3 linked regions of the Caenorhabditis elegans genome follow. The protein of the gene in region 1 purifies or fractionates together with the protein of each later gene. This does not show direct contact. Each region holds a gene or a part of one and is shown in the gene's direction. Other genes may lie near its edges. The genes, in order: Y45F10C.4, hint-1 and gba-4.

Region 1 (8,921 bases):
CGAATCATACTTTTCGAGAATGGTCGGCACAAGCTTCATCAATACTTCAAAATTTTGTCGGTAATGGGCGTTTTTGCGTTATATGTGCACACAAACACTATCTTCATACCTTTAGTAGTAATCATTTGGCAACTTTTAGCCCCAAGGTTTTTCTTGTTCTACCCTGTACTACACGCAAAGCCCATAAATCTGTAACTCAATCTACTCTTGTCTCGTTTTCTCATTTCTCTCGAGCGAAGCTAGAATCTAGGGAGGAACTGGGATTTTTGATATTTTGCAAAAGTTTGCTGTTTCAGACTTAGTGTAAAGAAATGAGCCATTTCATGTGGCTCCGTTTTTTCCTTTTGTCACAAATGTTTTAATCATCATGATGTCACACTTTCAAACAAAAAAGGACAGCCTACACATTTGGGGTAAAAAGTTATACTTTTTCAACAAATAATAATTGTTTTACATCTTTGCACGTGTCTCCGAATCTGGTTAAAATCAGGAAAAATTTTTAAAAAAAGTTACTGTTTCACCAGGGTAAGATGTACCACGAGAAGAGTTGATAACTAATATCAATGGATGTTGCCCACTATATAATTTATCACGATTTTATGCATTCTATATACTTTTTGGGTTTTGTTTTTCTTTGCAAAAAAATTGTTTTAAACTTTATTATATACACCAGCCGATGACCGCGCCTCCGGCGCGGCCAACGACTGGCGGAGTTTAAAATGTAAAACACATAGATGCCTTTTTAATCATTCACAAATGCCTCATCAAAATAAAGTTGGCACTTTATCGATGAAATCGCATTTTCACTTTCCATGGTATACGATTCAGAAAACTCACAGAGACAATTAGAATTTTCTGGGTTTTCTTCCAACACATTGTCATTATCAGGCTTTCGAAAAAATTCTACAGAGCTATACTTTTTTTTTATTTACTTAAAAACTTTCTTTAACTGGAGAAGTCTGAAGAATTAATTACTAAGTTCTTTGAACATTGCTGTAGCAAAACAAAGAAAAAGTCCTACAGGGGTTCTAGAACATTCCAGAATTTTCCCCAATTTTTCAGTTCTTGAAACTTCCAGAAGGTACTAAAACAAAAATAGTTTCACAGAAAACTTGAATTTCCCTCAAAACAATGTTCTCATAAATTTTGAATTTCCCGCCCAAATTTTTAAGGGTCTCACCACAATGGGTCTCAGGTCTCACCACAATGGGTCTCAGCAAGGTCTCACCACAACAATTCCAGAATTTTCACGAATTTTTCAGAAGGTTCTAGAAAATTCAAGAATTTTTTTTCGAATTTTCCAGAAGGTTCTAGAACATTCCAGAATTTTCTCGAATATTCCAGAAGGTTCTAGAACATTCCAGAATTTTCTCGAATATTCCAGAAGGTTCTAGAACATTCCAGAATTTTCTCGAATATTCCAGAAGGTTCTAGAACATTCCAGAATTTTCTCGAATTTTTTAGAAGCTTCTAGAACATTCCAGAATTTTCTCGAATTTTTCAGGGGCTTCTAGAACATTCCAGAATTTTTTCGAATTTTCCAGAAGGTTCTAGAACATTCCAGAATTTTCTCGAACTTTCCAGAAGGTTCTAGAACATTCCAGAATTTTCTCGAATTTTTCAAAAGGTTCTAGAGCTTTCCAGAATTTTCCAGAAGGTTCTGGAACATTCCAAAATTTTCCCGAAGTTTCCAATTTCCCTTCCAAAGACGGATAGTCAATTTTTCCCAAACTACAATAATCCTACAGTACTCCTACAGTACCTCTCCAGTACTACTACAGCACCCCGACCATATCCCACTACTAACCCCAAACCTATATCTCTTCAAAAGACAAAAGCTCAATTTTTCCTAAACTACAGTAATCCTACAGTACTCCTACAGTACCTCTACAGTACTACTACAGTACCCCGGCCATATCCCACTACTAACCCCAAACTAATATCCCTCCAACAGCCGAAAACGCCTTGCCTTTGTAAGCTATGACGTCACAGACTACAAACTACGGCACAAACGGAATTATTTTTTTTATATATAGGTTTTATATATAGGATTTTTAATACGAGCATTTGGCTTCCCAAGCTTTCATAATCGCGACGAGGCCTAATTGTTGATTTATCGGGGTATGTTTTCTCATCAAATTCTTTGTACCGCGCATGTATGAAACATTTGAACAGGTGTGTCCTTGTGATCTTCATGGGATGTAATTTCGGTAGTGGTTTGATCCAAAAGCTCAATTCAAAATGGAAACCATGGAAATGAATATTTTAACGCTAACAATTTAACTCTGAGATGCACTTTTTCAGAACAACAGCACACTTTAAAAGTTATGCGATCGATTGAAAAATTGATTAAAATTGATTAATCAATTTAATTGGTGATTTTAAAACTTCGAGTACTGTAGCCAAAAGTGGTTGCGTACTTGACACATTTGACGCGCAAATGCACAGAGACTCCATTTTGGGATTTTCAGATCGTTTTTTTTAAAGTTTACTCGTTTCTCTTCGTTTTTTGTTCGTCAATTTATTTTTTTGTATAAGAAAAATATAAAAATACTAGTTTTAAGTAATTATATGGAAAAATCCCAAAAAATGGATTTTTCAGACTTGAAATTTGTTCAAAAAATTGACCTACCAAACAAACAAACATAAAAAACATTTAGCGCTAAATATTCAATTTTCGTTGAGAATTCTTTGTTTTCCATGTTCACATTCACTTCTTCCAAATTTTCCTCGCGTTTTCCATTAATAAAATTATATTTTTACAGATAAAATCTTAAAATGAGCGAAGCTCCTCACTCTTCCAGCATGGCGGATAGCAATTCCACAGTAGAACAATATCGTTCGTTGAAACGGTGAGTAATTGAAAATTAGATTCTAAAAATCATGATTTTCCAGGAAAATGATCGAGAAAAAGGATCTGATGAGAAACAATCGAACAGCACTTCGCGCATGTATCCTGTTCAATTGTCTCCTCGGAACTTCAATACGAGACGCTTATAATCAATTTTGCCGAGCCGTTGGATCCGATGTTATGGAATATCGAGAATACGAGTTCTGGTTCTATCAATTTAAAAGAGGAGATGCTGATTTCAGCGATGCAATTAGGTATTTTCAGAGACTTCAAAGAAATCAATAATTTCATTTTTAAAAAATTGATTTTCAGTTGGAATCCAAACACAATAAAGCTTGATGAATTGCCAATCGAAGTGATTAATACGATTTCCAGCTTCTCTATGCCAATGGAGAGGTTTGTTAGCCAGTTTTATTCAAATTTAAAATGAAAATTTTCAGACTAACGCTTCGAAAAGTGTCTAAAAACCTGCGCACACTCATCGATTCTGAGCCGTTTTGTTTCCAAAGGATTATAGTACGAATTGGACATCGAACATCGTATCTTCAATTGGACGGTTATCCGGGAATTGAATATATTCATTGTGGTGCCGATTGCAATGTTTTATATGGAAAACGTGATAAATATGTTAAAAACAAGAATCACGTTGAATATGCTCTGACGGAAGCCATTCAATTGATGAGAAATTCAAATAATCACAGCAAAGAGTTCCACGTGAGAGCAGAACGATCAAACGATCAGGAATTGTCAATGGTTCTCAGGAAATTTTTCGATTCTGTGGAAATTGAGCTTTATGCGAAGAAAATTGTCGTCAGTGGATTCAGTTTTGCCGATACATCTTCGGTTCTTTGCCATTTCAAAGCGGGATTTCTCGAGGAAATTCAGGTGTTACCGGGTTCCGGTGGCCCGTGGACCAACGTACTCGTCGAAATGGAACAATACAAGAAGGCAAAAGTATTGAAGATTTGCACGGAATTTCCAGTTTTACTGGATATCGAGGATTTGCTGCATTTCCGACGGTTCGAAATTGCGATAAAATCAGATTTCACTGAAAGAATGGCCAGAAAAATTCGCGATGTAAGTTTCCATTTTAATTTTCGTAAGTTTTAAATTTAATTTAATTTATTTTCCAGGTTCTCACCAATTCTGAACATTTCGAATATGCCCACATAATAACTCAAGATCTTCACCATCGGACAGTCATTAAATTCTTCAATCGAAATGCTGAAAATGTATTCTGGAATTATGGATCCATGAATTATAATAACAAGAAGCGCCTCTTCCACATTGAGTACAATCACCGACAATTTGTAATCAAAAAATTAAACATGTAGATAATCAAACAAAAATTGCCTTCTTCTCGAAAATGTATGTACTGATATTTGATTTGCACACTTACCCCTTGTTTTACTCTTTTTACTCTGAGATTTTTCTTGCAATAAACCTTTGTTCAGGTTAAAAATAAAGCACATTATCACGAAAAAAAAACTGTCAAAGAATAACTGAATTCACAAAAAAGTTTCGGTTCTTGCAAATTTTCAAATTCAGTTTTAAATTGTTCCATTGTCATACACTTTAGCAGACCTGCTCATATTTAACATTATACAGAAAATGGAGATAAATTGGAAATAAAAAATATTGATTCATCATTTCTGATGAACGGAAGAAGTCGGGTTTATTGCCTCTTGGGTTATACAGTCCTGCTCCCCGAAAAATTTACTGTTTCACCCAGCTAGCAAAAACACTGAAGAATTCTCGAGTGACTGTTTTGTCATTTAATTTGAACTAAACATCAGCTCCAATGACCTTCTCTGAAATATTTTTGTCTCTAAAAACCTGAAAATATATGCAGAAACAAAAAAAACTAAAATTGTCGAATTTTAAGTTTTTTATAAAAACCCCAAAAATGGCAGTACATTTCAAAATTCGGCTCTTGTCTTGTATAGCCCTGCTCTCGAAAAAATTTACTGTTTCACTCAGCTAGGAAAAGTATTTTCAAAAATTCTGACTTAATCTCAAATTGATCTGTTGAGGAAACATGTATTCTTTAAGCTCCATTGGATTGGTTTCAATTGACAGAAATAAATTTGGTGGCAATTTTGCAACAAACTCTAAAAAATAGTGAGCCTGCTTCATCGATTGTTGCATTGGAGGGGATAGGTATTTATAATTTTGAAATGTCCTTTTCAAAAAAAAATCTACCGTTTCACTCAACTAATAATTATTATGAATTGTTATTGGATCACTTTCCATACGCTTCAAGCAAAATCAGCATTTTCTACGGCTTGGGATGCATCTTCTAAGAATTATTGGAAACATTGGGATGCTGTTGAGCGGCATGTTTTACTCTTTTTACTCTAAATTCTTTCAATAAAATTTTGTTCAGGTTCAAAATGAAAGCGAGTGTGGAGTACAATATCACAAAAAAAAGAACTGTCAAAGAATAACTGAATTCAGAAAAAAATTCCGTTTTTGCAAATTCCCAAATTCAATTTAAAATTGTTCCGCTTTTTTTTCGATTAGTCATAAACTCTAGAATTGTTCCGCCGTTTCCCACAATATATTGTGAGAAAAATAAGAAAATGGAGTCTATTGTTGTTAAAAGTATAAAAGTGACAAGCTGAAATCACTTGATCATCAACCAAATCAATTGATAATCATGAATTTCCTTCCCTCAACTGTCCTTTTACTCTCATTCGTCGTGGCTATCATTTCTGGAAGTTTCAGTTCTATTAGCGAGGAATGGAAGGCAGTCTGCGAATGCAATTTGTCAAAGCTCAATAATCATGCGAAAACCGGAAATTGCAAGGTGGCTTCTAAAACCTTATAAAATGAAACTCTAAGAGCCTTTTATCATTCCTTAAAAACTAGGAATTTCATTCAAGTTTACAAATTGCTTCCTTTTTTGTTGAAAAACGATTGAAAATGGAAACTTGCACAGCGGTGTAGTGCTAAAATTGAAAAAAATTCCAATTTTTTGTACGCATATTTGCTTTTTTCAATATTACACGAGGAGGCAAACTCTTGTACATGGGCAGACTTTTGCATTATAACTTTGAAAATAAATGAAAAACTTGACATCTGCGTAATCCAAATTCTTGCTTTATTTTTGAATTATTCATTTACCAGACAACCGCCTTGTGGAAAGTCACAAGTGATACAAACTGCACTGCGTCAGAATACTTGAAGATTACTGTATTCCCAGCTAATGATGATCCTCTCAATAGAGTTGAACAATGTACAATGACACCGTACGTTCGTTTCAATAATTCTGACATTAAAGGAACACTTTCAGATGTGACCAAACCGAGAAGACTCCTGCTGACTGCAATGTAGCGTTTTCCGCTGCAAAACTTGCTGAAATTGCGAAAGAAGAAAAATCAAAAATGATCATTTGAAACAAATAAATCGTTTTGATAATTTCATTATGTTCTTCATTCAAAATTAAAGTAAGAAAGTGGAAACATTATGAAAACATCAAAAGAAACACAAAATAATAAGGCGATTTCTTGCAATTTTTCAAATAATCATACATTTTCCTTGAAAAAATCACATGTCAAGAGCTCATTGTGCAAATCTAGAAGTATATATTTTGCTAATCATCTGAAACTTTTTTGGAAGAAAAAACTTAAAATTTTGCGATAAATTCTGTGTAACCTAACGAACGTTATTTTCAAAAATTAGCAACTTGTTACTTTCATTGTTTTTTTTTGGAAATTTGAAATTTTCCCAAATGTCACAAATGTCACAAATGTCACATGAATTTTGTGTAAGCTAACATTTATCAAAAACTACCAACTTTTGACTTTCAAATTTTTTTTTTCGAAAATTTATAATTTTCTCAGATGATTTTAGCATCCAAGTTGTCAGTTTATTTCAAAACAATGTTCTCTCCAGATCTAAATCCAATAATGCCATAAGTAAAAACACGATGCTTTTAAGATTTCAATGAAACAGTCGTTTTAATGACAAAAAAACAGGGAGAAAAGAATGTTCAGAAGTGGTTGCATTTTCCAATTTTATTTTTTTAAACACAAACTTTAAAAATTCGTCATTCCTCTAGTTTTCATTTGTTCTATTTTTCGTTGCAAAATGCAGAAATTTGTTTCTTTTGTTGTTAAAATTATAAAAGTATCAACCTGAATTCATTTCTGAATCAACTTGTTATCATGAATTCCTTCGTCTCAACTGTCCTTCTCCTCTCTGTTACAATTGCTTTGGTGTCTGGATATCCATCCCAACTCCAAACAACTTGTGTCACAAAAGCTAAAAGTTGCACCATGTTCTTTTTAAATGGAGTATATTGCACCGAGTGCACGGTAAATTTTCGTATATTTCTTGGAAAAGTCTGAAAAAAACTTTAATTTTAGTATTCTGGAACTCTTGAACTGAAAATTGGCTCAACATGTACTTTTTCCATTTACGAGAAAAAAGTGGCGAGCCAGCCAAATGAAAATTCACAAAATGAAGTAGCTCAATGCAAACAGTCATCGTAAGTGGTTTCCGAAGTTTTCAGAGAAATTAAATAAATTCCAGATGCTACTCAAATCAATATGTACCAGTTGACTGTGCGGCTGCTTTTGGAAATGAATATATCACTTACATTGAAAATCAGTAGAACTTGAGATTAATGAAATATATATTTTTGTTGGACTTCTGATCTGTGAGCTTTCAACGTTTTCAAACTGATAATAAAAGAAAGAAAAGCATTTTGGAGTTTCCAGTGAATATTTGCAGCAAAATCTAGTTTATTTCTTGCCAAAAATAATATAATAGAACAAATACAATCTTGACAATGAACACGACATTTTTCGGTTTGTTGCAAAATTTAAATAAACTCATACTCAAAATATTTTACTGTTTCAATATTGTTTCATTACGTTTTATTCGATCTGTTCTTTCAATTATTTTCCAAAACTTTTGTTTCTATAAATAGAAAAGAATTAGACTGCAAATTCGAACACAAATAGTTTTGCAATTAACCTTGTTTTCAAATTGTCGACATCTTCCTAGCTGTTTGCAAAAATATTTCATATGGATCAGCTCATAATGTACTTGTCTTCTATTGCGTAATTAATCCTCTACACAATTCCAATGTGACGCCTCCTGTTTGTTGATTGAAAAAAAAACTGTCATTTCTTCTTTACTTTCAGTGAGATATTTTGTCAAATCTTCGGCAGTACCAATTTCCGTCAGCAGCAAGTTTCGGATTCAAAGATTCGGTGAACACATTATCATTGTATTGCAGTTTTCGAAATATTACATCGTAGAGCCGGTTCGGCTTCGAATATTTAAACATCGCAATTCCAATAAAATAATTAGTTTACTGAATTTTGATCATCGCATGTATACCTATAGAAGTTGCTGTTTCATCTACCATATAAGAATACTACTACTGATGTTGATGCGTTTCTCTTTCCGGTTCTAGAGCTTTCTGAAGTTGCTCAATTTTCGCTACATCTATTTTCTCCTAGAATAGTGTTCTTCCTCCATCATTTAAACACTCAAACTGCAATTTTCAGAGATAATCCTTTTCTCATGTTGGCAATCACCTAGAAATCTGCCAAGTTGGGATGCAGTGGCACCACAGGACCCAAGTCACAACACCGAGTTCCAGTTTAATCTTGCAGAGTTCAATTTGTTGTCCTAAAATTAAAAATAAATGTATTTTTTCAAGTCCTATGTTTTTTCTTGTAATTAAAATCAATATTAGAAAATTGCAATATAAAACACTTCAATTACCAAAAAAAAAGTTTTTGAAAAAAGTTGTAGATATTGCAGAAAATAGTTTTCACACAATTTTGGGTGTTCAGTTTTCATGCTCTAACAAAAAATCAATGAAATTTTCAAAAGAACACAAAGACGTTATACTTTCTACAGCTTTTAACTCTGTCCGTATGTGATATAAGAGAAGTTGCCAACTTAAAAGTTGTTAGCAATATAATGAGCAACAAGTTTATTGTTGACTTTTTTGTAGAGGTATAAACGTCATAAGTTGACCACAATGTACTAGTTATATCTAGAAATAAAAAATCTCAAGAATGCCCATAACATCGGAAATTTTGCATTT
Region 2 (8,716 bases), on another chromosome or scaffold:
ACAGGTGGAAAAAAGCAATTTGATATGATAATCGATGTAGGTGGAATGTTGGTTTTTAGCTATTAAATTGAAATGTTTCTCAGAAACATAATCAAATAGGTATATTCGTATTAAAGTGAGGTAAACTTTGATATTTGGCATTACATCACTAAGTTTCAAAACTTTTTTTTTTCCGTAACTTAAAGTTTGGGTAGCATGAATTAATACTAATCTGGAACTATTTAAGATCCCTATAAAATAGTTGGCAACGTTTTGATTGAATTGGGGTTTGTCTTGAAGTACTCGAAAATTTTCAATTTCTGTAGTATCAACAAAGAGCAGCGATAAAAACCTAACGTAAACGCCACGTGGAGCCAGAACGTCTCATTTCGGTTTGATCTACATGAAATGCGGGAATTGAGACGCAGACATCTCATCTGATTTCGCACGGTGAAGAGCGTGCGGACGTCACAATTTTCTGGAACACTATTCCCGCATTTTTCGTAGATCAAACCGCAATGAGACAGCCTGACACCACGTGAAACGCGACTTTCCTAATAAGAACCAATCGGCGACTATCTCCGCCTACTACTGAAACAATCAACGGATGAAGGCGGAGTAGCGTCACTGATTGGTCTGAACGTAGGCGGAGCGAATCCCTTATTGGTCTTGTAGTTTTCACTTTAGAGTGATTGTAAAGATTAGAAAAGTTGCAATTTCAAATTTCGTTTTGTTATAAAATAAAGTGAACATTCTGATTTGTTGAATTTTCAAACAATTTCAGAAAAACGGAAAATCAGAAGAAAGAATTTCGTAAACGCCAAGAAATATTCGAGAAAGTATTTCAAGACGCTGAATCTGGACAAAAAGCAGTTGAGAATGTGATGAGTGATTATCGGGAGTCAAGAAATGCAATCAAAGTGCAGTTATATACCGATTCAAATGATTTTATTCAAACACAACAAATTGAAAAATCGGTGAGTTTATGGTTTCTGTTTTACGATTTGTTTTATGATTTATTAGTATATTTGGATACAGTGTATATTAAATATTTTATTCAATTTTTTTTAGACTTTCAAAAAAGTGGATCAAGGCTAAAACAAAATTGATTTTTTTTCCAGCATTTCAACGCTGCTGGAGACCGACTTCGTTCTTCTGAAATTCAATTATCAAAACTAGAGTCAGAATTGAAAAAGACAAAACAGGTAAGAATATATTTTTATGTTTATAGAACCTAGGGAAATACCCTGAACTTACAAGAAACTTATTTAATTATTGTATATAATTAAGCTAAAACTTTCAGATACGCGAAGAATATTATCAAGATTCCATGCAAAGTTGGTTTTCACGATTCTGGAAATATCTATATTGAAAATATTTCGTATTGTCACTATTGAATGAAATTTTAGCAAAAGCATAACAAAATTGAAGTTAACATATACAATCCAGTTTTGAACTTCCGCCAAAAACGGAAAATGCGTCAAGAAAGCTTGCTGGCGCTTTGAAGGATGGCGCAGAACCCGTTTTTCTTCTAGATTTTTAAACACAATTTTGTTTTCTTTCACTTCTTTTCCCACTAAAAACGATCAAAATGGCTGATATGGCTAAATTCGAAGAAGAAGTTAACAAGCTCAGAACTCTTGAAAAAGGTTAGTAACTGTTAATTTAAACAATCTTTTCAATCGTTTAATTATAGACCGCGAAAAGTACTTCACGAGTCGCCAAGAGATGGAAATGAGATTAACTGAGAGTAAAAATGTGAAAGCGGTAAGAAAAAGTTTGAGATTCAGTTTTCATGTTATCTTCATTCAGGAGCTTGATCTGATGGAATCCGACTCGAAAGTCTACAAACTCATCGGAGCGGTTCTTGTTCGTCAAGATTTGGAGGAGGCTCGATCGACTGTGGAGAAACGGCTTGAGTTTATCGACTCTGAGACGTGAGTTGTAACGTTTATCATGTTTCTTTAGTATTACTTCTTGCACGCTATTGATTTACACGAAACAAATAAAAATAACAAATAAATTTTACCTTTAAACGTTTTAAAATGCAACAAAACTTTAATTACAATTTTCAGCAAACGAGTGGAAGCCAGCATCTCAGACATTTCGAAGAAGTGTACGGAACAGCGAGACAAGGTGATGAATATGCAAAAAAGCTTCCAGATGATGGCTCAAGCAGCAGCCCAAGCACAGAAGAAATAATCCAGTTTGTTCTATGAATCTCATATTTTTTGCTCTTAATTTGTTATTTTTTGCCTATTCTTCATCTCTGGTGTTTCTCCGAAACGAGAAGATCACATTAATTTTTCTATGAAAAAAATAAGTTTCTTGTTTCGGGGAACCATTTACAATAAATGCTTTCAAACTGTTTTATACCATTTGTGCTCACGTCTATGTTAAAAGTCATTGCTAATTACATCAGTTCTGATTTATAACTATATTCATTTTCTTGCTATTCAGATGCATAATGGGTACCATTCTTATTTTCCTCCAAATCACTATTATGCTCAAAGTCAGCCATCATCGTCGTATAATCCCCAACCACAAATTCAACAACCGCAAACCCAAATATATGGATTGGTAGTTGGTTACAATAAATATGGAAACAGAAATTATCTTTTCTATACCAAAAATATCGATGGATTTGTCGAAATCAGTGGAAATATTCAGAGCCTGCAGATAGGACGCTGGCTAAAGTTAGACATTATTTTATCTGATTTTATTAACTAGCAATTTTAGATTAACTGTTTGTCAGAACTTCGTGGGACAATACGTATTGGATTCCTCAAATAGTTGTGGATATGAAAACTGGGACGTTTTGCCGAATCACAGAAATTCATCGGCGAGATTCTTTCCGAAGTATGAGGCTAACGATGAAGGAGAAATTTTGGTAATCTCAAATGGAAAAAGTTTTAATAAATAAAGAGTACGGATTTTTATAATTTTTCAGATAACAGCTCGATTTGATGTAATAGTAGATCGGAAAAATAATTTGTATGATTTCACCAGTTACGATATTTCCTATGATCATATTATTGACGACTTTAGTCTGATCAAATCATCATGTCAACACTATGATGGACGCAGTTTTATTGTTGAAGTAAGTTATCGATTTTAAAAAAAACTATTAAAATAAAAATATTGCAGGCTCAAGCATCTCTGGCAGGTTGGGTCGCATTGAGTGTGCATGAAGATCCACAAAAGCTACACACCTGTGATGCTGTAAGCCGAAATGGATATCAATCAGTATGTGGCAAAAGTGTCCTGGTTCATTTTGAATTGTTCACATTTTGGTTTTTGCTTATCAAAATTTCCCAGAACATATAAGCCACAACCTCCTGCAGTTTACATAATATAATTTCAGCTCCCGAATCCAGTCGTTGATTCTGATGTACAGTATCTTCATGATACAAGACTGTTGGATGTATGTGACTTATAGTTCAGAATTTTTCAAGTAATCACATTTTTAGATTATGACTGGTAATGGATATGTTCAAACACCCGAAACCGACGTACAAGATCAACAATCAAGTCAACATCAAGAAGACGTGCATTCTCAAATGAACTCGCAGACATCTGATTCGTACAATTCCTCTAGAGTTGTGTCAGAGAATCGGGAAATACCTCCGGAAACTTTTCGAAGCCAAAGTATCGAATTGAATCAAGTTGATTCATCCTTGTCCCAGACTACAATCTCAAGTCGAGCAGCACCAGTTATTGATTCAAATCAGTTATCAGATGAAGATGAAATTGATGATGAAGATACATACGGAACACGTGGAACATCTAATATTCCGATGAGACCGTTTATTAAAGATTTAGCTCCAACGATGCTTCAACTGCTTCGTCAAGATAAAACTGATTCCGAAAAAGTACGTAATGCCAGAACAATAATATTAATCTTCATCACCATATTTCAGCCTCAATCTGCTTTATGCACCGTTGTGCAAAAAATCGATGGCTTTGCAATTTTGTACACAGCCAAAAGAGACGTTATAAACGTTTTGCTTCAAGAAAGATCGTGTGAAGGATTGGAAAGATCCCCTCAACTCGGAGACGTGGCATTCTTCGATATCTTGCCTCGTAGAATTGAAACAAAAGATAGGCTCATTTTCAAGATTCCATATACACATATTGCAGGTATTTTACAATTTACCAATGTTTTAAAAAAACTTTAATTTTAAGTGAAAAAGAAACCAGACACGCCAGATTCTCTCCTTAAAATTGATTGCTTTAAAAACTCGGTCAGATGCTTCGGAGGAGTGCTTGAAATGAAAGTAAAAATCGCACTTTCAAAACCTGAACTAGTAGTGGAGCAATATCATGACAACACAGAGATGAACTCGGATCATCATTTTTATTATTTGAAAGCAACAAATGGAGTACTTGTCACAATTCCAAAAGAACGTCTTCTGAATCATTTGAATTCGAAATTATCAGCAGATTTTGACCTAATCGCGTGGGTTGTTCATCGAAAACCAATTGGAAATGTTTCATTACATATTGGAAAGGGAGGTGAAGCTTATCAACAGTTCACAAATGGAGATATTCGAGAGCTTCCGCCATTGTCTTCTAATCAATATTTCATGAATGGTAAGTAAGAGGGAAACCGAGTTTTCGAAGAAACCTAGGAGAATTCTTGGTTTTCTATTCAAATTATTATTTCAGTTCGAAAGTAAAAACTGCACAATCGACAAATCACGTTATGGGTTCAAATTGTATTCTGGTACATTAATTCTTGTTCTTGTGTTAACTTTTTTGATTATTTTTTGTATCATTTTACTGATTAAAGCATTTATTTTCACATGTTTATTGTTTATTTCTCGTTGTCTAGCGTTTTCATCGTTTGAAATATATTGCATATTGGTTATTTTTTGCCCATTTTTCAATATTTTAGTATGGCTTCCTCTTTGGTTAAAACCGCTTTGCGTCTTGCTTACCGTAATCCAGTTAGGTCAGGGTTACTGTAGGCAAGGTGTCTTTATCGATTCCACCATTTTTCAGGTTTACAAAGAGAAACATGTCGGAAGTAGATAAAGCCCACTTGGCGGCAATTAACAAAGATGTTCAAGCCAACGACACTCTTTTCGGAAAAATAATTCGAAAAGAGATTCCAGCGAAAATCATTTTTGAAGATGATGAGGTATGTAAGATCAGGCAAACGATCACATAAAATATTTATTTAAGGCTCTCGCATTCCATGATGTCTCTCCACAAGCTCCAATTCATTTTCTTGTGATCCCTAAGCGTCGCATTGATATGCTCGAGAATGCCGTTGATTCGGATGCTGCGCTTATTGGAAAGCTTATGGTTACTGCTTCAAAGGTAATTATAAATGAGTAAAAACGAATTTGAAAATCCAGAAATCTCCATTATATTACTCTTAAATAAAATTCCAGGTTGCAAAGCAGCTCGGCATGGCCAATGGATACCGTGTTGTTGTGAACAATGGAAAAGATGGAGCTCAATCAGTTTTCCATCTTCATCTCCACGTTTTGGGAGGACGTCAGCTCCAATGGCCACCTGGATAAATATTGCATTGCTTACATTCTGCCACTAATTCATTATCAGTCTTGTAAACAAATCAGTAAAAAATTATATTTATATTTATTTCCAAAACTATTTTAAACCGTGGCATCATGTTTTTTGAAATAAATGCATTCTTTTTCTTCTATCTGACGTGTTCAATTATTGAAACAATTAATCATTTCTGGTATAAAATATGACGCTGTACGATAAAGTGAAATCAATTCTGACGATTCCTGACAAAAATAGTAACGATTCGATCGTCAACGCAACTGACTTGTACTTGGAGTGGGAGAAAGGAGACGGGCAGTGTAAGTGTCACGTGTTTCAATGGCAAAGAAAGAGTTTTTAAATGTCATGAAATATGAATGTCGCCGGGCCCGGTTAGCTCAGCCGGTAGAGCACCAGACTCTTAATCTGGTTGTCGCGGGTTCGAGCCCCGCATTGGGCTGATCTTTTTGTATAGTTCAATTTTTTTCAGATCTTCTTCCACTCTTATTGATTTTCGTTATCTTCTTTTGCATAACTTGCGGTGTGTTTCAAGCTTTGTTGAGCCTTGTGGTTCTCTGTATCAGAAGCCTTTGCGGATTTGATGAGGAAGATGAAAACTTCAATATCAATGGAAACCACTTTGCTAGAAATTCGACACCTTCTGAACATCACGAGGAAATTGGAAATTTGGTACGGTTGTTTTAAAAGGTTTTTTGATTATTATATTTAGAAAATAACAATATCAGAAAATCACAATAACGGCCATTCAGATTTTATTCAAAGCGTGTCCTTTCCATGGTCATAAACATGATGGAAGATCCAAATTAAAAGTAATTAAGTGATTGAAAATGATTATGGGACCTTTTGAATGAAATTTTGTTTCTCAACCTAATGTAAGTCTATTTTAGATGGGAACTGAAGCTGCATCCATATCTGAACTTCCTCAATATGGAACACCACGAACCAGAAAATCGAATACTTCTTCATCTCAGAACAGATGCCTTTCAGTTTGATTCGTTGAGTGAATTGGATTCTCAAACTTGATAACTCGTACCTTGATATCTCAATAAAAAGAAAATGAAAACTATGATAAATTCATATTCCCAAATTTCTACCATCCACTTGTTATTATTAATCTTTGTGTTTTCTTCTGTTATTTTTGTTAAAACATCTTCCTTAAAAACAGGTCGAGATAGAAAGTGTACTGTTCCAGTGTCACGACAATCAACAAAATTGCAAGAGTATAAGAGAACAATTTACAAAAATTGGATTGGAAAATATAACAAAAATGATCCGGTATATTATTCTGCTAGTATATTTTCTAATTTTTGAAGTAAACTCTCAGTTAGACTGCTCAAAAGCTCCAACTCCTGCTATTCGAATAATGTGTAATCAGATTCAAAGATGGGATCAAAAAGCAAGGGTAAGTGGTTTAAGGATTACATTATTTGAAGAAATGTACTGAAATTATTCTTAAACTTTTGATGCATAATCTTAAAGTTCAGGCAACTCCATCATTATCCGGTGACGTGAAAACACCTGGAATTGCTGGTAAAGCAATGGCTGCTGAATTTTCTCCAATTGCAAGTAATGTGTTTCAATGTATGGATATCGCTTGTCTTTGTGTATTTTTCAGAGGTAAGTAACATAATCTGTCATAATTTTGACAATTATAAAATAGCCTCAAAGCTGATCTATAAAAGATAAATGTAATATAGAATGTAGAATCAATTTGTGAGCTTTCATCGTTTATACTTTTGGTGATCAAGGAAGTATTCCCAATTTTTCGTTAGTTTTTTCAGGAACCGGTGGAAATAATTGCGTGGTTCAAGGTCGTCCACTTGGAAAAGTCGTAAGAAAAGAATACCGTATGCTTTCTGATGATGAACGACAACGACTTCATCAAGCATTCCGAACTCTGAAACAGAATGGAGAATACGATCGACTGGCAAGAGTTCATGCTCAATATTCTGAAAGTGGAGCTGCTCATTCTGGACCAGCATTCCTTCCGTGGCATAGAGAATTTGTAAAAAGAATGGAGTTCCTGATTCGACAGGCTTGTTATCTCTCGTATTTAAAATTGAAAAATAAATATTGTTTAGGTTGACCCATCACTTCATCTTCCATATTGGGATTCATCATTAGATCAAAATCTTCCAGATTCAAAAGATTCAATCTTGTAATTATTATTTCAATTTACAAATTTGATTTCAATATTCAGATGGACGAATGAATTTATGGGAGATGCCAATGGAGAAGTTAACAATGGACCATTCAGAAGCTGGAAAACTGTAGAGGTAAGGAAACACTTTATTTCAATTCTTATAATTTTTATAGAACAAACCAGCAATCACAAGAGCAGTCGGGGCTCAGGGAAAAGGATATTCAGAGGATGAAATCAACACAATGCTAGGACAAACAGATATTGCTCAAGTTCTTGCTTTCTCTGCTCCACAGAGGGTAATCATCACATTTTCTCCTAAACACTTCAAAAATTATTCTAAAAATGGAGCGAACATGGCTTTTGTTATAAATTATAGATAATAGTCTGCAAATATCGAATATAACTTTCAAAAAGTTTTAAAATTTAATAATGTTCCAGAAATGTCATTAGAATTAACCAAAGTTTTCCAATCGGCTGAATTATTTGCAATTTATTTCACAAACTGGTTGAAAAGGCATATTGAAAAACAAAAAATGCGATGAACTTTGAAAATAATTACTTTGTGCACATTTCAAAACAAAATTAGCCATTGAAAAAATTTTCGCAACTATGAAGAGATTTTTGAAACTAAAAACCAATTTTTTTTACATATCATTAAAAAACTCACGGAGGCTAGAACTTCTGAAATGTTTTTAAGTCTCCTAAAATTCAAATTTATAGGGTTGTCCTTATCAACCAAACTTTAACGTCCCTGAATACACTCATGGAAATCCTCATATATATGTTGGAGGTGATATGTTAGAGACATCAACAGCTGCAAATGATCCAATATTCTGGATGCATCATTCTTTTGTTGATCTTCTTTGGGAAATGTATAGACAATCAAAACAGGTAAAGTCATCAACATTAGCAATCATTTATTTATTGATTTTAAGACAAGAGCAACACGAGAAACAGCGTATCCAGCTGATAATCGACAATGCAGTAGTGAGCATCATTTTAGAGCAGCTTTCATGCGCCCATTTACACCAATGAGAAATGCAGATGGACTCAGTA
Region 3 (13,592 bases), 8.3 Mb from region 1:
GAGTACTTGGCATACTCAATCTATCCTCATCATCATCATCAAACGTCATTGACATTGGAACATTCATTTTTCTGAATTCACAGAAAGCATCTTCATCTTCATCGAACATCGGCTTCTGCCTTTCAGGAAGACATTCCCATTTCTCTGAGCGACGTTGAATAACTCCATCTTCTAAATCATCAGTGAGCAATATTTCTTCCATGTCGTTCAGTGTGTATCTTGGCATTTTGTACGTGATATTCTGGTCGCAGAGCTCATTCAGAATCACTTTCGCATCTTTTTTATATTCTAGCATGTTTCGAGAACTTATTGATTTCGAGAAAATACGAATGAGAATTGCACGAATTTGAACGGCTCCATCACCAAAGAAATTACGCATTCGTTGCCCATTTTCGCGTAGACGATGCCGCTGAAACAATAATTCATTTGAAAGAATGTTAAGATCAAGCATACCACCACTTCCAGTTCATCCATAACGATTTGCATGAGAATTTCGATTCCAGAAGTTGTGTTTACGACGGCAAGCTCATTGTGAAGACGTTGACGTGCAATGGCCAGCTGAAAATTAAAATTGTATGTACAGTTTTTAATTTTCAGATTTATTTTAAAGACTCACATCTTGTAACGTTGTCTGATTTCCTTCTTCCTTTATCTCTTCACCTTCGAAAATAGTCTTCTTGCTCTGTGGACCCGTCACAAATATCGTTGCTCGTCGTTTTTGCTTCTTTGACGGTGTGTCTGACATTTTTCTGAAAATTTGAAGAATAAAATTGAGGAAGACATTGATTTATTATATTTAAATGAGGAAAAGACATCAAAAAAGAGAAAATTAGCTGAAATTAAGAGAGAAAAAGAAAAAGCTGAAGAAAATGGGATTTCCATTTGAAATCCCCGCGATGTGCGATGGGGCGCGATTGCACCAATCTACCGTACACCTTTTTTCAAGCATTTTTCAAGAAAACGTCTGCAAGAATAGACGTTTTGGGCTAATTTGAAAAAGAAAAAAACTAATAATAACCAAAGAAACCCACCAAACTATTTACATAGTCCAGGTGGAGTACACCACAGAGGGTGTGAGAGAGAGGCAGGTGTTCGTTGCGAGACCCACTGCTAGGGGAAGAGGGCACATAAATTTTATGATGGCCATTGAATTGACAACCGATTCGGGGTAATTTAATGCACCCTGCTGGGTACGCAATAGATATGATATTGCTTTTAAAGACATGGGAACATATTCCTGAAAAGATATCGCGATTCGCAATTTCAAGATTTCTGTGGAATGTCTTTCGGAGTTTCTTGTTATAAATATACTTTTTCAAGTAAAAAAACAAATTGGAAACTGTAGAAAGCCTTGTTTAAACTACTTCCCTCGGATTTCAGATGACGATCCAGAAGAATGAAGTAAAAAGTCAATGGCCGAGGTCTGGCTTTTTTCTAGGCCACATCAAAAATGAAGTCACGTTGAAAAATTCTAGGCGAGACCCATAAATAACGATATATTCTGTTAACCTGGAGATTGCAGAAAAGAAGCCATTTATAAAAATCCTTGTCAAAGCTAGAAAAAAATTACTGTTTCTCGATCATCTCATTATAAGGTGTGGTACAATTTCCCCAATAATTGTTTCATGAAGTTTAACCAAAGTTAGTTTTTATTTTCAATGAGTAATGTTCTTCAGAACTCTTAAATTCCACTTTTTCTTGTCAATTCTCAAAAACAAACACACAACCAACAGAATGTTCATTTATCACATCTGTTTTGTGTAACATTTTTATTTTTCGTTTTCTCGTCTTGATCTCTCCCCATAACAAACATCTCTCAGTCTCGAAACTATGACAGCAAAAATAGGTTTTCTACTAATTTTAGCTGTTATTTCTACAGTTTCTGCTCTCCGATGCTTTGAAGGAACCGTCGCATTGGATAGCAATGATCAGACTTCAAAAAAGGTATTTAAATTTTATTTACAAATATTAATATTTAAAAAATGTGTATATTTCCCATACGCGAAACTTTGTTTTTTTTTTGCGGCAGAAAATACGGTACCAGGTCTCACCGCGACAAATTTTTGTTTAATAAATGCTAATGAAGAGTACGAGTTTCAAAAAGCGGTGAAACTCAGTTTCAATTTAATTTTTAACTAATACTAGATGAAATACAAAAATTTCCAACGAATTAAAAAGTTTTAAAAAAATCTTGCAGGAGTGCGGAGGAATGTCGAATTATTGTATTCAACGTATCGATAAGAAAACTAAAGAAATGAGGTAAAAGAGCTAATGTCTATTTGTTTCATGGTCAGTCATGGCTTCTCCCTCGTTTATTTGTGTAATCCTTTTGCGGACAGTTCTCGAAGAGAGCTTGATTATTTGCTCAAATCATTCAAATCATAATAGGCGCTTCCGTCTTTTACGTAATTTTACGTCATTGTGAGGAAAAGCTCATATCTTTTGAGATTTATGATAGCTGCTGTTTCCAAAAAAGGTGTGTAAAAATTATATTTACAAAGAAAATGTAAAGCGACTAAAAGTGAAAACTCGGCTGCTCTTTTCTTTCAGGCAAAGTTGCAAAAACTTAGAATTGTGTATTCTGGTAATTTCTAGCCCATTGTCAACCTATCGACCGAAAGAATGTAATTAGTCAAACATGGTGAAATATATCTTCTAGTTGAAACTGTAAATCAAAAAGTGACATGTAAGCTCATTTTTGTGTGTAACTTTTAAAAAATCTCTCTGAGATCCAAGCTTATTAATAGTAAAACAAAATTAAAGTGAATTCTTAATTTCTAATCAGAAACAGTAAAACAGAAACAATGAAATTTTTCTTGATTTCCTTTAACTCAAATAATAAAAATTTTTCTGTTTCACATGTTCTTTAAAACTCATTCAATTTAATTGTTTAACATTACATGCTTAACATTACGCCCAAGAATAATAATAATTTTGCAGACGTGAATGCAGTTCGTGGAGCGATGAGCACAGTATGGAGGAGAAATGTCCGGTTGGTTCATTTTTTTCTGAGCATCAGACAATTTATATCAATTTTAGATGACCGGATGCCATTTCCAAACCAAAGATTCCACTTTTTGTTGCTGCCAGTTTGATGAGTGTAACGAGTGGAAGGGAGAGTAAGTTACTTTTTTTTGTGAAACTTTTTTGAAATAGGAAATACGAAAATTTTAGGTACGAAATACTTACAAGAATTTTTAAATAGATTCCAAAGAAAAAAAGAAAAAAATATATAAAGATTCATTACACATTTTTAGAAAAAAAGTTGAATCGAAAAATCTTAAAGCAGACTTCATCTATATATTGGCTATTTTTAAAACAATTTTTTTCAGCGGAACCGAGTTCAAAGCCGGAGAAACTAGCTCAAAATCGAAAGCTGTTCCAAGTGCTCCAAAACTCGGTGACGTCATCATGCCAACTGCAGCAACCCGTAAGAATGTTCGTGTGCATTGAAATTGCTTTATAGGATGAGATCAATTTTCTAATGAAATTTGAAAATCAAGTAAAACTTGTGAAACAGTAATTTTTTCAAGTGACTAAAACAATTGCTTGCTGATTTGAACCAAAATGCTGAACTATTATGGTTCAGTTGAAATTTTAGTTTTCAAATTATTTAAATAACACTAAAATTACAGCAAAATTTAAACTTTCAGAAAAGTGAAGACATCGTTCAAATTCCAACTACTGTCGCTCCAACCAGGAAGAGCAGTTTTGTCGAGCTTCCTTGATTTCTTAATAAAAAATTTATTATTTTTCTAATGGTTTAAAATTTTCCCTAACTGATTAGTTCATTTTGCATGAAATAAATGTTCAAAATAAAAAAAAAGCCTTTTAACAAAGTTTTCAAAAAATAATAAAATTTACAGAAGCATCAAAACGGTTCGTTCCAACTCGTACTTCTTCTATAATTGAAATCTCATTAAATTGTGCAAGTTTTTTTTTTATGAAACGACAGTAAAAAGCATACCATGAGAGTGTTATTACATTAATTTTTCCCACGTAATTAAATTTAAACACTGAAACGGTAAAATTTTTTGAACCTGCTAATAATATGTTAAAGTTCCAATTTCTTTATTGTTTTCAGATCACTATAGGTGACAACATGTAGCTCACTCACGCTCATACCACGAACTTTATCATACCATGATTTGTCCATTGCCCCCGTCATTATCTATATATGTCCTGCATAGTTAGCAGCCTGAAACCAATAATTTATGTGTTTTCCCTTCTTTTTTCCATAATTTCTTATCAGTTTCAATTATTTTTTGATCAGAATATTCCAACTGATTAGTCTTTATAAAAACGTGGTCAGTGTCTTCAAATATTGTTCTTATCATTTATTCATTAGTAGTCTTGGAAAGTGTCCGGTTTTAACGGAATACACTAGACTAGGCTATCATGATTTTGAATATATCCGTTTCTTTGCTAATATTTCTGGCGTTTTATGGATTTTCAAGCGATGCAAGTGAGTAGTAGAAGTGCCTGGAAGTGTTTAGAAAAGTTCTAAAAAAATATTACTGTTTCTCACTAGGGAGTGCTTTCACTATACGGTGCGATCGAGTAAAAGTAAACGTGTTATGCGATAGCTGGCATCTTAGGCTTTCAGAATCTGTAATTTGTTTCGGCGGAAGACCTCTGTGAGTCTGGAAATTTTCATCTGAAAATGTAGTACTGAAATCAGTTCATTTCCTATGGTTAACAGTGGATTTTGTCTCTGGCGCCAACAGAAGTCTCACCACAATGGTGGAAGGGCGAAATCATCGCTTCGGTGGTCGAGTGGTGAACGCGTTCGCCTCTTGAGCAGAAGTTTGTCGGTTCGGTTCCCACACATGGTTTAAATTTTGGGTTCTTTTATACAAAATTTTTAGAACGGGAAACAAATGTTTAAAACAGTTTTTTGAGGTTTTTACATTACTTTTTTGCTTTTTGATTGAACCACAATTACCCTGGAAACTTTTCAGAAATTTTTATTTTTTTCGAAAATTGCCACTTTTTTCTCCCATGAGAAAATTGGTTCCAAAAATTTTGTTTGAAATTTTTTCAAAAATGTATGAAATATTGTAGAGTGTCACGAATAACTTATTTTTCATTGTTTTCAATGACCGAATCACTGATTCTGATGCCGTATCAAGACGTTTTACCAAATCGATATTGGCAAAACATCTTGTTTTTGAGGCTCCATATCTCTGCAGAAAAAATCGCACTAAAAAGTGATCAACTAGAAACTTGTTAAACACAATGTGATCTAAAACTTTTCAGTTGAACACTTTTTTGTAAAAAATTTGGTTCCCAAGATATAGACCTTTAACTATTTAGAATATTCAAAAATAATGACGCTCAAATCAATTGGTTCCAACCTGGCAACCAAATTTTTTACAAAAAAGTGTTCAACTGAAAAGTTTTAGATCACATTGTGTTTAACAAGTTTCTAGTTGATCACTTTTAGTGCGATTTTTTTCTGCAGAGATATGGAGCCTCAAAAACAAGATGTTTTGCCAATATCGATTTGGTAAAACGTCTTGATACGGCATCAGAATCAGTGATTCGGTCATTGAAAACAATGAAAAATAAGTTATTCGTGACACTCTACAATATTTCATACATTTTTGAAAAAATTTCAAACAAAATTTTTGGAACCAATTTTCTCATGGGAGAAAAAAGTGGCAATTTTCGAAAAAAATAAAAATTTCTGAAAAGTTTCCAGGGTAATTGTGGTTCAATCAAAAAGCAAAAAAGTAATGTAAAAACCTCAAAAAACTGTTTTAAACATTTGTTTCCCGTTCTAAAAATTTTGTATAAAAAAGGCCAAAATTTAAACCATGTGTGGGAACCGAACCCACAAACTTCTGCTCAAGAGGCGAACGCGTTCACCACTCGACCACCGAAGCGATGATTTCGCCCTTCCACCATTGTGGTGAGACTTCTGTTGGCGCCAGAGACAAAATCCACTGTTAACCATAGGAAATGAACTGATTTCAGTACTACATTTTCAGATGAAAATTTCCAGACTCACAGAGGTCTTCCGCCGAAACAAATTACAGATTCTGAAAGCCTAAGATGCCAGCTATCGCATAACACGTTTACTTTTACTCGATCGCACCGTATAGTGAAAGCACTCCCTAGTCAGTTATGATATGACAAATTGTCATATCATGACTGAGAAACAGTAATACTGGAACTGAATTCAATGGAACTGAATTCTCAATAATCATTTAATAACTTCTATTTAAAAAAATTTAAAAATTCCCATTGAAAAATATTGCCGTTTCCGAGGTATAATATTTGAGTTAGTATTTGTATTACTTAATTCGTGCAATTCGAACAAATCTTTTTTTAAACAAAATGTGGAAATTGTGGAAAGTTGATACAGAAGTTTTACAAATTAAAAATACAAATTAAAACAAATATCGAGCATGAAAAATGCATTTGAAGCTACAACTTTTTAATATTTATTTTCACAAAAAAAACTCTGTTCCAACATGATCTGTTAAAATCCCACACTTTTATGATTCTGTTGCGAACAAGAAAATGTATTAGATATAACTGTCCTCAAATGCGTTTATAAAATTTCAATAAATGCGAACCAAATGTGACTAAAACGGACAAATCTGGACTTTTGCACTCAGAAATCGATTAAATTAAGACCCTAATTCTTAGTTCGGATTCGTCAGTTTTGCTACATCTAAATTGGATTCAACGATAACAATATTTTTTGAAGACTTCTAAAGATTATGTGAAACGGTATTTAAAAAAAAATTTGTCATTTCAAAAATCATTGTAGACATCAATCTTAACATAATTGCCAACATGAAAAGTTTCTACTGCTCCGAGGTAAAAAAAAGTAAAAAAAGAAAAAATTCATAACTTTTTGTTGTTATCCCAATAAAAAATTACTGTTTCTGTGTTATAATATGAGTTTTGGATTGGTATTGAATTGATAATAGTATCTTTTTTCAATATTTGAGCAATGATTTCATTACGCTTATACACATATGTATCAGATTTTTTCAAATTGTCAAACATTTGAATTATCAGAGTTTACAATTAACAAACCTTAATTAATAGATAACAGATAACAGTTATAATTTTTTTTAGGAAAATAACTCAGTTTCAATCTGCTAAATGCAAAATTTAATATTTTTCTAATCGTAACTATTTTTCTTCAAAATTAATTTTCGTATCCTTTAATCTAAATGGGCAGCAGACTGTAAAAAAATTATTTTAGAAACTTTTTTAGAAAAAATGCTTTAAAAAAAGCTTTTTCATAATTGCATATGCAAGACTAATAGAAGAAATACGGTAATTAATGTATTGTATTCATTGCTTGCAATGTGCAGGCAAAACATGGATAAAACAGTTTTAAAAAATTCCGTTTCAACAAATTTATTTATGAAATGTAAAATTTGAAATATGTATTTCGTATGGTAAAAATTTTCATAACCACAATTTACAGAACTGGAAATAGCTTTAGACATTTTCTAAACACGTAGTCCTGCACAATTTCCAAAACCATTCCAACTAACTAAACACAACTGAAGCCAATTTCCAGAGTCCCTTCCTTGCTCCGAAGTGAAGAAAGAGTATGGAATAGTTTGTCGTTGCAATGCCACGTATTGTGATACAATTGAACCACTTGGAACTGTTACTTCTGGGAAAGCAGTTGTCTATACAACATCAAGAAATGGAAAAAGAATGAACAGAAGTGAATTGAAGCATACAACTTCTTCTACAGGTACGTTAATTGTATAGGAAGTTCCATGAAGGCACAGAATTCTTGCCTGCATTCCTGTCTGCCTGCCTCCAGAATACACCGGAAGCTTATCAGTAACTTCTGGTTCGAAACTGATGCAAAATAGGCGGTAGGCAGGCTCTTAGATAGAGAGGCAGGCACCGCTCAACTAACACAAAAACCTTTATAATATTAGAATTTAGAGAATGATATTTTTTTATTTTGAAGTTGGCAAAAAATTATTCTACTGTTTCACAATTATTTTGTAACAATTGTTGATATGATACATCGTTTTTGTAGCCAAAACAAAAGTATATGTGAACACAACTCAAAGTTTTCAACCGGTAATGGGATTTGGAGCTGCATTCACTGATGCTGCTGGAATTAATATGAAGATGCTGCCACAGACAATGCAAGATCAAATTATTCAGCAATACTTTTCCGATGATGGTAAGTTATTTTCAAAAGATTAAGCTTGAAAAATAAATAATTTAGGTCTCGGGTATGTTTTTGGACGAGTTCCAATGGCTTCAACTGACTTTTCAACTCACGAGTACAGTTATGACGACGTTAAATTTGATTTTGATCTCAAAAATTTCAATTTAACAGTGGAAGATCTCCAGTATAAAATTCCATTTATCAAGAAGGCAATGACAGCTTCTGGAGGGAAATTAAAGCTATTTGCAACTCCATGGAGCTCCCCAGGATGGATGAAAACTTCTGGAAGAATGGTTGGTGCCGGAGAGCTATTGGGAGATCAGAATGGAAAATACTATCAGACATGGGCACAGTACTTTGTAAAGTAAGTTCTTATTTTCAAAGAAATAAAAAATAAAATTATAAAATGAAAGATTCTTCGAAGCCTATCACGCTCAAGGTATTGACTTTTGGTCTTTGACACCACAAAACGAGCCAACAACTGGAATTGATCCACTTTGGAAATGGCAAACACTCTTTTTCGATGCATCAATGGAACGAAATTTTATAAAGAAACTTTTGGGACCAGCACTTGCTTCATCACCAGTGACTAAGAATTTGAAGATTATGATTAATGATGATCAGAGAATTAATTTGCCACACTGGCCAAATGTAGTAAGTTATTGGTGGGATAAAACATTGAGTAATAGGTAGAAATGATTGAATGACTAAAAATTAATTAGATACTGTTTCACATTCAAAATAAATATATTAAAATTATAAACAAAACAGTAATCCAATACGAGAAACAAAACCTCTTTTATTTATTGAAAATTTTCAAAACTTTTATAGCTCTTTCCTTTGTTTATTTTTTTGTTTTCTATTAGGTACTTACCGTTTTTTAACACTATTAAGACTCCATTGTAATTAAGTATTTTCGAATTTTTTTCGAATCAAGACACTAGAACGGTTATTTTAATTTTAAAACTCGCTTTCACCTACAATTATTACTGAATTGACCGAATAGTTCAACAGTTGTGTAAATTGTTTTAGAAAAAATTAAAATCGAACGACAAAATGTGCAAAACTGATAAGAAACGTAATGCTAAAATGGATTTGTTGAAACATTGAAACATATCAGATATTCAAAAATTGTACTGTTTCACATTCAAAATAAATATATATATAGAAATTATAAACAAAACAGTCGAAACAAAAGTACTGTTTTTGGGAATCAAAATTGAGGTATTTTTGAGCTTTCCGTAGTCTTTGGTAAATTATGAAACAAAGTGTAATGAAGTATTTATTGACTAATTGTTAGAATTTGAAGATTATGATGAATGATAATCAGGAAATTATTTTGCCAAATTGGCCAAATGTGGTGAGTTGTCGTTTTGTTGAAACAGTTATGCAACAGTAGGGAAAAACATAAAATAATCAAACTTTGTGCTGTTTTACATTCAAAATAAATATAAGAAAATTATTATTGCCATCAATCTTTCTTTGGCCTTGGGAAGAGTTATCCGCAGAATTTACCTATTTGAATTTTTAACCCTTGATTAAAAATCATATCCCATTCCGACGTCCCCACTCTTTTAAAATAAAATTTTAGATTTTAACGGATCCAACTGCTGCTCAATACGTCCACGGAATTGCAATTCATTGGTATGAAGACTTCATTGACCCAGCAACCGTACTCACTGAAACTCACGAGAAGTTCCCAGACTATTTCCTTTTGGCAACTGAAGCATGTGCTGGATACTTCCCAGCAGATGGACCAAAATTGGGATCATGGTCTAGAGCTGAACAATATGCAAATGATTTGATTAAAGATATGGGAAATTGGGTTGGAGGATGGGTTGATTGGAATTATATTCTTGATTTACAAGGTTGGTTTGTGAAGTGTAGCAACACTTGCGATTTTTTAATTTAAAAACATCAAAAACCATAGTAAGAAACAGATTTAGAATTTTAAATCTTTGATATAACTAGGTTGAAACAGTTTTCTAATATTTATTTTCCAGGAGGACCAAATCTTGCCAAAAACTTTGTCGATTCAACAATAATCGTGAATGCAACTGCTCAAGAGTACTACAAACAACCAATTTGGCATGTAATGGCTCAATTCAGTAAATTTGTGAAACCGGGAGCTATTCGTGTTGGAATAAACATTATTGAGAAATCAGTTGATGTTGAGGGTCTTTCATTTTTGAATCAAGATGGTACCAAAACTGTGGTTTTATTGAATAAAAATGAGGTAATTTAATCAAAAAGAGATAATCCAACATGGAATTATTTATAGTTCTAGTTTATTAAATTTTAGAAACAGTAAAACAAATTTTTATCCAAACTTCAGGTACTCAGCTTCGACGTGGCAATCAGTGACGTCAGTGCTCCAAATGTGATCTATGATTTGACAATCCAACCGAATTCACTGATTACAATTGTTTATAAATAAATTCTGAACATTTTTGAAATTTAGTAAAGAATTATGACAGTAATTCAAATCGTGAAATTCAATGTGTAAATAATAGAGTAAAATTGAACGTTATTTCCAGAAAATTTTTGTGGGAAAATTCATGGAAGTTTAATTAACTTTCAAGGGAAGCGAGATCATTGTTGAACCATTTTGCAAACCTGCATCTCTCTCCGTTATTTTATCAATTTTAAAACTAGTGTGTCTTGTGAAGTTTACAACACCTGAAACGTGACGTCAGTCGACTGCTTGGCGCAATGGTAGCGCGTTCGACTCCAGATCGAAAGGTTGGGCGTTCGATCCGCTCAGTGGTCAAATTTTTTTGTCGGAATTATGAAACAGAGTAGGAAATTCTGCAAGAGCGAAACCATAAATTTTATTGACAATTTTCATTTTGTAGATAAAAGACGTATTAAAAACATATTCATTCAATTAAAATTTATACAAAACTATCAGAAAAGAACCCGTCAAAAACTTGAAATACCCTAACCTTGTGGTCGACCTGAAGTAACATTAAATTTAAATTTGAAGTTTTGAGGCTTCTTAATTTCATCCATGAGACACAGCTTTAGCCATTGAAGCAACGTCCAGACAAACTTCGGATCCCGTTGCAGAAATGTTACGGAACATTCCACAGCACGCGATTTTTCCGTGTCTGAAAATGGAAAAATCCGGTATTGGTAAGATATGATTAGTTAAAACTAATTGTAAGTAGAATTTTTAAATCTAGAATTTAATTATAATTTAGTAAATTTAAGCGCTGAAATAAAAAGTCTGAAATAAAAAACACAAAATTAGACAATTGGTTTTCTAATTTTTTTCTGCTGTTTCAAAACATTTTCTTATTCACAAAAACTTTAATCAAAACAATTGGCCGTCCATACTCACGTAAAAGTCAATTGTCGTTGTTCTTCCATAATTCTTGCATTCTCACTCCAAATTCTTGCATAACATGGAGCGCTGAATTCACTCTGGAGCATCGTTTGCATTGCTGAAGTGGTAGCAGCCACTCCTCCGAAAATTGCAAATACTGAAATGGAATATTAAATAAATGTTTTCCTAAATTGAAACAGAAACCAAATGCTCAAACTACCCTAAGACAAAAAAAAACTAACCAAGAATTAAGATATTTGCCAGAAGTTTGATCTTATCCGAGTTTTGAAATATCTCCTTAATCGTTAACTTTTCCTCATTATCCTTATTTTCTTTCTTTTTCTTAATTGTGGTTAGCGCCAAATTAAATACAATTGGAACTACTAAAGCCATCATTGTAATTGTTGATCCACCGACAAGATCCAATAAAACTCCAAAATTTGGAACAGATTCCGCGACAAAAACTACTGAAAGCATAACTAGAGCTCTAGCCACGATTCTTTGCCATCCAAAATCTGAAATAAAAAATAATATTTAATTTTTCAAATGTTATGTTGCAGAAAAAAGGGCAAAAAATGGCAAATAAACCGTACCATGTGACATATTCAAAATTTCCTCAAATTCCTGGTTCAATGGATTGAAAGTGATTGTGAGAGCCAATGAAACATGAAGACTGATCAAAATATTCACAATTGTTTGGATATTTATATTCTGTAAAATTCTATTGAAACGAGGAGAACAATTTCAAAAAAAATTCACTGCTTCAAGATTTCAATTTACATTTTTTGTTAGAAAAAACTGTTGACTGAATCCGTATCAAAAACACAAAATATGACTATTCATAATAACTCACTGAAACTGTGGTTATTTTTTTATTGTATCAGTAGTTAAAAAAAACTATTAATTGAATGATTATATTTTAAAAATGGTTATCATTTCTAATTTTCTGACATTGTTCTATCTAAGAATTAAAAAAAACTACGACAAGTAACTAACACAACTGATCAGAATATTCACCATTTTGTCACCATAATATAGGTTTAAACTAATTTGAGCAATCTAATTGTAAAACTAGCCAGAAAAAAAACATGATTACTCTTAATAATCAAATGAATTAGTGAATAATGGTATTTTTTTTAATCTATACTTTTTTACTGTTTCAAAATAAACATTTATATAGAAACCTCTTTTTTTAAATTTAGTCTCAAGTTGCATTTAGGATTTTCTAATTTTCAACCAGAATGTTCAAAAAAAATTCAAGCCTATTTTGGCAGTAGGTAGGTTGCCTCGAAGACTGGAAGGTTTTTTTTTCCGACATTACGAGCGTATTTGTTACATCGAATGGAAGAAAAATATATACATTGATTCGTTGAAACATTATTTTTTCAAAAAATTTCCTTCAGTTTCGCCGAGTATTTATATTCGAGATTACCCACAATTGAAAGTAATTCTTTCGCGTTTCAATTTTTCTGAAAATTCTAGTCAAAATTTAAGACAAAAAACTTTAGAAAACGAAAATTGCTTACCTGAATTGATGGAATAATAGAGTCGGTCAAAGAGCTTCCATATACAAAATATCCACTCATTGAAACAGGAAGATAGAAAATAAAAATAATAATGAATGCAATAATAATTGATCGAGAAAAGTGATGAGGCTTCTTCATATCATGTTGAATTGTTGGAAATGCACAATGTCCTCCATATGAGAACATTATAGTTCCAAATGACATCAGAGTTTTTGAGAAATTAAATGATGGATAGAATACTTCTTTATGACATACTTCATAGTCTTGTACTGTTCCAAAAATGATTAAAACTACTGAAATTGTAGTTGAAATCATTGCAGCAACCACTGCATACCAGAAATCTTTTGGAGATTTTGGAAGGGTAAATGGGAAGACGAGAAGCCCGACGATGAGTATCATATAGCAGAAGCTCACGTGAGTTCCGAAATTTGCGTGAAGCATGTTTTCACCATTTTTTGCGGCAAGAAGAACAAATACAACGGCAGTTCCGAATTGGGTGACTTGAAGCATTGCTGATACAAAGTGACTGGAAAAAAACAAATATGGTCAACATCTTACTGATACTGATTGT

The links.
Region 2: the proteins of Y45F10C.4 (region 1) and hint-1 fractionate together in Caenorhabditis elegans (co-fractionation; one large-scale study listed by BioGRID). This does not show direct contact.
Region 3: the proteins of Y45F10C.4 (region 1) and gba-4 fractionate together in Caenorhabditis elegans (co-fractionation; one large-scale study listed by BioGRID). This does not show direct contact.

The regions. Positions count from the first base shown.
Region 1 is NC_003282.8:13,660,754-13,669,674, reverse strand, and holds Y45F10C.4 (UPF0375 protein Y45F10C.4), read left to right. Parts: upstream 1-5,484; 5' UTR 5,485-5,510; coding exon 5,511-5,660; intron 5,661-5,980; coding exon 5,981-6,102; intron 6,103-6,146; coding exon 6,147-6,249; 3' UTR 6,250-6,277; downstream 6,278-8,921. Other genes in the region: fbxa-215 (F-box domain-containing protein), read left to right, coding at 2,779-2,852, 2,896-3,105, 3,164-3,247, 3,292-3,928, 3,985-4,185; UPF0375 protein Y45F10C.2, read left to right, coding at 7,021-7,170, 7,222-7,343, 7,388-7,469.
Region 2 is NC_003279.8:7,276,595-7,285,310, reverse strand, and holds hint-1 (Histidine triad nucleotide-binding protein 1), read left to right. Parts: upstream 1-4,983; 5' UTR 4,984-4,999; coding exon 5,000-5,122; intron 5,123-5,166; coding exon 5,167-5,304; intron 5,305-5,378; coding exon 5,379-5,510; 3' UTR 5,511-5,641; downstream 5,642-8,716. Other genes in the region: F21C3.6 (DUF4200 domain-containing protein), read left to right, coding at 764-956, 1,101-1,184, 1,283-1,351; pfd-6 (putative prefoldin subunit 6), read left to right, coding at 1,571-1,628, 1,676-1,746, 1,792-1,916, 2,055-2,181; rde-2 (SH2 domain-containing protein), read left to right, coding at 2,440-2,675, 2,719-2,869, 2,930-3,079, 3,127-3,225, 3,344-3,403, 3,450-3,851, 3,900-4,119, 4,165-4,572 and 1 more; F21C3.7 (Small integral membrane protein), read left to right, coding at 5,702-5,816, 5,987-6,186, 6,405-6,509; Putative tyrosinase-like protein tyr-3, read left to right, coding at 6,785-6,919, 7,002-7,134, 7,299-7,552, 7,599-7,675, 7,718-7,793, 7,834-7,956, 8,381-8,551, 8,596-8,716.
Region 3 is NC_003282.8:5,341,645-5,355,236, reverse strand, and holds gba-4 (Putative glucosylceramidase 4), read left to right. Parts: upstream 1-4,339; 5' UTR 4,340-4,398; coding exon 4,399-4,465; intron 4,466-5,815; exon of another isoform or gene 5,816-5,888; intron 5,889-6,307; exon of another isoform or gene 6,308-6,328; intron 6,329-6,515; exon of another isoform or gene 6,516-6,536; intron 6,537-6,675; exon of another isoform or gene 6,676-6,696; intron 6,697-6,941; exon of another isoform or gene 6,942-6,962; intron 6,963-7,416; exon of another isoform or gene 7,417-7,437; intron 7,438-7,549; coding exon 7,550-7,732; intron 7,733-8,020; exon of another isoform or gene 8,021-8,029; coding exon 8,030-8,179; intron 8,180-8,224; coding exon 8,225-8,531; intron 8,532-8,580; coding exon 8,581-8,821; intron 8,822-8,938; exon of another isoform or gene 8,939-8,962; intron 8,963-9,353; exon of another isoform or gene 9,354-9,374; intron 9,375-9,638; exon of another isoform or gene 9,639-9,663; intron 9,664-9,758; coding exon 9,759-10,035; intron 10,036-10,082; exon of another isoform or gene 10,083-10,103; intron 10,104-10,170; coding exon 10,171-10,403; intron 10,404-10,409; exon of another isoform or gene 10,410-10,430; intron 10,431-10,502; coding exon 10,503-10,604; and 2 more. Other genes in the region: Y4C6B.1 (WH2 domain-containing protein), read right to left, coding at 1-409, 454-558, 617-745; Y4C6B.7 (Activin_recp domain-containing protein), read left to right, coding at 1,831-1,944, 2,198-2,259, 2,941-2,992, 3,040-3,119, 3,333-3,438, 3,654-3,728; Y4C6B.2 (Amino acid transporter transmembrane domain-containing protein), read right to left, coding at 11,172-11,277, 11,511-11,652, 11,738-12,010, 12,089-12,206, 13,022-13,547. UniProt on the Caenorhabditis elegans protein: Glucosylceramidase that catalyzes the hydrolysis of glucosylceramides into free ceramides and glucose. C.elegans contains specific sphingoid bases, which are unique or different in structure compared to the sphingoid bases found in other animals.